2 linked regions of the Kluyveromyces lactis genome follow. The protein of the gene in region 2 interacts with the protein of the main gene of each other region in a pairwise test. Links are inferred from orthologs where the notes say so. Each region holds a gene or a part of one and is shown on either strand. Other genes may lie near its edges.

Region 1 (2,910 bases), on a different chromosome or scaffold from region 2:
GTTTTTTAACTCGGTAATTTGTGAGATACAGTACAATTGTACTAGCAAGTGCCGTCTCTCCTCTAAGAGCTGCTCTGGGCTCTTACTTCCAGTAGCATTCCCTTTGCTTGCACTGCTCATCGCCTTGAAATCCTTACTTTCTATTAGATGTTCTGTGAATATCTGTCACGTTGAAAAAATATAACTTTCGGTCTGAATGGCAAGTGATAGGAAAATATCCAAAAAAAAAAAAAGGAAACTGGGTCCTCTGATTTTTCTTTTAGCGAGGGCTTGTCTCGGAAACAGCACGCTTCTGTACAAACAACAGGATCGTCCAACCAAACAAGGCTTTTCTGTGTCAGGTACTTTTGAAACTGAGTCGAATAGTGTTCTCACGGTCCTGTTCTGTTACCGTATTACGGCTTGTTTTCTCGATTTCTACTATATAAGTACGTATTTCATGTTGTTCAGCAATTTTTTTGTTCCTTGAAAGATTTTTTTTTCTTTTGGGAGGCCGAAATCATGTAAGGAGGGTAACTAAAGATCAGGTCACGTGCGTTAATTGTTGGGTTCCCAGAACGGGATTAATCCACATACCATCATCACCTTCCTCAATGTAACTACTGAACATTTACATCACTCACCAGGTCTTGATGGCCGCATCTAGATCTTCGATGGATTTAATTAGTCCAGCATGGTCCAAAACCATGTACGATGTAATAAGACCCTTTCTCGCCTCGGAATCCACATGGACTTTGGCTAGCTTTTCAAGGAAACGATCTTCTTCATGGAAATAGTCTACTTCGTTTGTTTGTCTTACCTTCTTGCGGACAGCTTGGTTCGATGTTAGATCGTCTTCGTCCATATCAAAATTCACTTCGTACTTCCTTGAAACGATTAGGTAGAAATCATAGTTTTTATCATCCCCAAGCGCAAGCTTCACATCTTCTAATGTGATAGTGTACAATGGCGGCACAACTTCTGGTGGCATATTAATCAATCTTTCACTCAAGACTAACGAACAAGTCTTCTCCGATTGATCTATAGTTTGTAGGAAAGTAGCTAGCTTGGGGTCAACTTTACGAAGATATTTGGCATAATCACTATCTTTGTTGGCCTTGTAATCGATAAATGATAGGAAACAGTATGGGTCAGACTCCTTACCATCGGTTTTGATGGTAGTAGTTGGTGAGTCCAAGATTAAATTTGCCAATTCACTTAGTTGAATTCTGTTCGATTCCTGTGGTCCAAACAACTGACGCATCAGATTCTTCAAAGCATGGAAATCAACGTCGGGATTACCATTGAAGAAATCAAAATCGATGTTGATGATTTCTTGTTCCTCTTGACCGTTTTCTTGGTCTGAAATATTTGAGTCTGTACTTGATATGTCAAGATCAGATTCCTCATCGACTGCACGTTTCTTGGATAATGCACTTAATTTAACAACCTGGACCATTGCAGACTAAAATAGAGTGTTGTTGCTGGTTTAATAAAGCCCAACTAATAACTATTGTTTATCTCTTTGAAACTTCCTCGAATCTATTCTAAAGTAGTGATGAGCTCGCCAAATGCAGGTTTGCATCAAATTTAAAGAATAGTTTCTTTTCGAAAAGGTAAAGATGACATGCGATGCTGTCAAGAATGTAAAAATGAAAGGGATAATTAAAATATCAATCAGCGAGTCCCTTGTCAGTTGTTATCGTGTACAGCGAATTGCTATTACGGTAATCCTAAGTTTTATCTTTTAGAAGACTGCAGTAGGGGAGTCATGGTTCATCTAGAAGCACGTGATCATATTTAAGATACCTCTGGGAACATATCACTAGCGACTCGAAGTGCAACTGCAAAGCACTACTCAATATATACACCCTACTTAAATCAACTCTCAAACCTGACCTAAATTAAACTGTAAAACCTTTTGCTTCGTTTCTTCTATGTCATATCAATGGAATTATATAAAAAGTATCCTGCTTGCTTGAGTACCATTATTATGATGCAATAATATCCATAAACAAGCATAAACAAACAGCAATATAAGATGGAAGCAGCAACTGAATGGCTACTAGAGAATACTCCCATAACCAAGAGTGAATGTACTACTATCAGAGAGTCAGTGGTTGATGGAGACACCGGCGGTTACGGTGTGTTTGTCAATTTCACCAAATTAAGAACACTTAAAGGAGAGAAAGACAGTAAGTTTGAACTTCTCAGGATTCCGAGATCTGCTACTATATCAATGACATCGATACGAGACATATTGGCTAAAAGTACATCAGAAAATGCGGTTACTGCTTCCATAAAGGGCCACTTGACAGCTTTCTTAAGCGATGAAAATCACCACGCATTTATCAATGAAACGAACCTGATAGTGATATATTTGGTCCTAAAGGCTATTCTTTCAGATAATAAAACTTACAAACTTACTGGATTCGCATCTTTTTACTTGAACGAAGTTCTTTTAAAGACTTTTGTCCCACTTCCCTGCAATACTTTTCAAGAAGATGCCGATAAGTGGAACCAATATTACAAAGAGTACTTGAACTTTCCTCAACAACTGTTCATTGAAATTATAAACCGTTTCATATCAGCGAGGTTTCTAGGTATGAACTATGAAAAATTAATATCCACTGTTTATTGTAGTGTTATCTCCAGAATATTGGAGATACCCGAATCCTCCGGAGAGGATACTGATGATTTTTTTGTCAGCCCAACTTTGGTCCCGTTATTGGACTTTGTTAATCATGACAATGACCATAGAAATGCTCACTTTGATATTGATCTTAGAACTAATGATATTGTGCTCTATTTAGAACTGGATGATATTGACTCTACCGTAGAAGAAGCTCAAGTATTTATAAGCTATGCTCCAGTGGAAGAGCTAGTCCATTTTGAACAAATTTATGGATTCTTACCCAAATCCAATAATGT
Region 2 (4,105 bases):
CTCTACCACCAGATAACAGATAGCAAAGTACAACACCGGAGAGTACCGCACCAGATGGAATTTTGTTAAACAAAGCTACGCTAGAATCTGATATCACACTCATTGTCGGCCTAATATTCTGCGATGTATGGATTTGTGTCCTTAATAAGAGATCAAAGTGTAGTAAGCGAAAAAGACTAGTAGAATCAAACACCCGAAAAAAACAGTAAAGTCTTAACAGCAACCTGCGAAACCTCGTTAGCGTGATTTGAGCTTCTATTAAATCTATTCCGAATAGACAAATACCTTGCTGTCGAAATCGAGTACTGGAACGTATTTTGGAACTGTCGTTTAAATACTCATACTGTTACATAGAATCAAGATGTCAGACCAGTTCAGTCGATGGTTCCGAATTATTCTTTTCTTTTTTTGCATTTGAAGTCACGTGATTTTGTTATTGCTCACTCAGCAGGCAATTAAATGGGCACCCAAGCCGGAGAGGTCATAATATCTTAAAATCTTTATCGAGTGTTTAGGAGTAGTGGATGTCTATGCACTTTGTAAATACTGGCACAGAATTCGAAGCGGATGATTCCATGAGGAACGTCTCATTATTGATAAAAGTTGCGATACAGTCCATGGTTTTCACTGAGATTCTATCGTTACCATTGGGGAAGAAATAGTTATGTAGACTTTTTCCTGCGTTAGAAATTTGAGAGTCTTCGGTGTAATGTGAGAAGTAATTAGTAAATTGATCTTGTACCCAGAGGTATTCGGAAGCTTCTTTGCTGCGTGCGAGCTTTTGAGTTCTCACCATCAACCAGGCGACTGCATATTCAAATTCATCTATTAAATCTGCCGGTGCGGCATTGTTGGTTTGGTCGTATAGTTCGTGATAGTCTTTCTGAAAATCCCGGTCATGTTTCATAATGCTCTTTATGCTTGCTAGATATGGTTTGTAGGCAGTCAGTATGTGTTTTTGTAACCTCTTTATATTATTGATAGAATCCTTTAGAATCGAGATTTGCCCGGATTTGTAAATCGCCGCACATTGTTTCCTATATTCACATGTAGCATAATCCTTTTGTGATTCCAATGGTTCTGCATCAATTATTAGGTACAATTTTTGTTTCAATGCATTCTTCAACGATTGTAGTGCTGTCAGTTGGCATCTTAATGATAGTGCACTTTCATTATCGTTTTTACTCAGAAGTGAGAAAAGATCCATTAACGGTTTCAAATTTTCTAGATCAGCATTGATAAAATAAAGGATTCCATCAGCAAAATTTTCCAGGGCTTTCAATGGTTTGGTATCGTTTGTCTTTTTCTGGTTTCCACGGGTATCCTTTACTGTATCGAAAGCGTAAGTTGTGTAGTCATCAAATGTTGGAAGGTATACAGAACCATCTGCTAAAATCTTCTCAACTACTGGTAAAGGCAACTTGAGTTTCAATGCAAGGTTATCGAATTCGTTCCCATCGACTACGAATCCATATCCATATAATAACTCTTCGTTTCCTTTAGCACCGTAATTATTGCATATTTCAGTTCCTTTTGAAACTGGTTCGAGTTTTTCAAATATAAAACTTCCTTCACTGGAACATGACCACTGAATCTTTGATCTATTCTCATGGTTTAAAAGGTCTAATACTGGTAATAATATCACATTATATTCATCACAATATGGGTTTATTACTCTCTCTGGGAACGCTCTTGAAGTAAACATTAGATGAGACCATAAGAACGCTGGAAAAGAGAAGAAGTCCAAAATCTTCTCAGAAAATACTTTACTCGTTATTTGCTCGTATATTTCATCAATACTGAGCTGTTCAATGTTGTACTGTCGCGTTTGAAAAGAAGTCCCCTCTATGACATTCCACCATTCGTCGTATATCGATTGTAGCTTTTCCTTTAGAGATGTGTAAAGGTTTGTCCCATTCAGCAGAGCAAGCTCAGATGGATTCCATCCCAACGGAGAATCTACCTGTGATGGTAAAGCCATAATGTATGGTCTGAATAGCTTTGTGATGTTTTCATTATCCAAAATGATCATCTCATCTGAAAACTTTAGCTTGCTCAAAAACAGTTTCAACCATGTATTGTGATGTTCTTTGCTTTTCACTTGATCTCTAAAGTGTTTGTTCGAAAGATCCTTGGTAATTATCAGATGGCTGGGCAATTGAAAGACAGCTTGCTCTATGTCATCACTAGCAATGCAACAGATACCCTTCCCCTCCACGTTCTTAAATCCAACATTTTGTGGAAGTGAAACTCCATTGTCCTTGGCAAATGCCAGCAATTGGTCCAATTTATCCATTATTAATATATCTTTGTCGTGTAGCTTTCGAAACTTGAGCACTTGATAGGCATTCCCCTGGATCAAGATAGTTGTCCTCCTTGAAGTTTACGGCTCATCTCATGTGCATCAGTAATCTATCGTAAATATTACGCTAATGCGTGTGGTAGGGTAACTTTCATTTTTTTCCTTAAGATCTGCGAGCTGAATCATCACTACCATGGCGTAAAGAGCCGATTTGAGGCCTCTTTATTCCTCTTGATCTATAGTTTCCCAACGGATTACTTCGACCAAGTTCGTGCTACCCTAAATACACTGAAATTTCTTCACTGATAACTATGGATTCAATTTAAATGATGAAAGTTTATTTCTGGTCAAACATGATTACTACATGACATAGCGCCTACAGTAAAAACTCATGCTAGAACGGGGACACGATAAGTCCATCAAGAATCAAAAAGACCCATTATGCATATCATACAAATGACAAAAGTGAAAAGCAATCACCTAGCCTTGACAACTATAGCTTTATACTAGATCTATCGCGGTCTATGTCTTTCTACGTCTTCTTCTGCTTCACTATAATGGATTCCGTTTGTTTACCTTTGGAGAGGGAAAATGTAAATAATGAAATGAATCTGATTCAGGTTAAAGAACGTCACCTTGAAGAGTGTAAAACTGTGTCATAAAGCCAGGTCAAGATCCGACGGCGGATGTGCAACGGTACTATCAGACATCAAGATTAATATATTGAACATGAGACCATCGTTATCGAGGGATGCAAGTGATACAGGAAGAAGGCATTCATTGTTACAGCAGAGTAAACTATTATCGATAAGACTAAGTAATGCAGGAAAACGACCTAGCTTATCACGAGGACACGCACATGAAAAAGACTCGATTACCTCGTCTCATCATAGGTTGAGCACTGGACCAGTGAACAACAATCCTAGAAGATCGCTAATGGTAAAGAAACCCAACACCGCGCATGGTACCCGCGTACCAATATTGAATGATCACAACGATAAGTTTGAAAACATGACACTTCAGGACTTTGAAATAGGTAAGATCTTAGGTAAAGGTAAGTTTGGTAAAGTTTATTGCGTTAAACATAGGGAAACGGGGCTAATTTGTGCTTTAAAAGCGATGGAAAAGAAGGAAATTGTTCAATATACAATTCAGAAACAGTTCAGGAGGGAGGTAGAAATTCAGGGTTCGTTCAAACATAAAAATCTGACACAGCTATATGGATTCTTTTACGACGAAAAACGGGTTTATCTACTTATGGAATATGTCTATTACGGAGAACTATATAAATTTTTGAAGAATAACGGGCCTTTGAATGAGACGCTGGCATCCTATTTTGTTTATCAAATGGCTAATGCCTTGGATTATATGCATAGTAAAAACATATTGCATAGAGATATAAAACCGGAGAATATCTTAATTGGTTTCAACAACACTATCAAACTGACAGATTTCGGTTGGAGTGTATATAACGAGGATGGACAAAAGAGGAAGACTTTATGCGGAACTATAGATTACCTTTCACCAGAGCTCATTAAATCTAGAGAATATAACAATAAAGTAGATGTTTGGGCCCTAGGAGTTCTAACTTATGAGCTATTAGTTGGATCGCCACCTTTTGAGGAGGATACAAAGGAAATGACATATAGAAGAATTTTGAGGTGCGATCTCAAGTTCCCACTAAATGTTTCACCGCAGGCAAGAGATCTCATTGTAAGATTGCTGCAATTTGAACCTTCCAAGAGAATCCCCCTCTCGGAAGTTAAATCTCATGCATGGATTGCAAATAATCGAGGTTCTTGG

Evidence for each region.
Region 1: the proteins of RKM1 (region 2) and BCP1 interact in binary tests that used the Saccharomyces cerevisiae proteins (3 or more experiments, as listed by UniProt). The link is inferred for Kluyveromyces lactis from reciprocal best matches to the Saccharomyces cerevisiae genes RKM1 and BCP1.

The regions. Positions count from the first base shown.
Region 1 is NC_006041.1:1,911,459-1,914,368, reverse strand, and holds BCP1 (protein-transporting protein BCP1), read right to left. Parts: upstream 1,439-2,910; coding exon 620-1,438; downstream 1-619. Other genes in the region: EAF1 (Eaf1p), read right to left, coding at 1-120; CTM1 (cytochrome c lysine N-methyltransferase), read left to right, coding at 2,021-2,910. UniProt on the Saccharomyces cerevisiae protein: Involved in nuclear export of the lipid kinase MSS4 and of the 60S ribosomal subunit. May also play a role in directing MSS4 to the plasma membrane. Plays a role in actin cytoskeleton organization and vesicular transport.
Region 2 is NC_006038.1:206,875-210,979, reverse strand, and holds RKM1 (protein-lysine N-methyltransferase), read right to left. Parts: upstream 2,297-4,105; coding exon 512-2,296; downstream 1-511. Other genes in the region: KLLA0_B02376g (uncharacterized protein), read right to left, coding at 1-103; IPL1 (aurora kinase), read left to right, coding at 3,032-4,105. UniProt on the Saccharomyces cerevisiae protein: S-adenosyl-L-methionine-dependent protein-lysine N-methyltransferase that monomethylates ribosomal protein S18 (RPS18A and RPS18B) at 'Lys-48' and dimethylates ribosomal protein L23 (RPL23A and RPL23B) at 'Lys-106' and 'Lys-110'.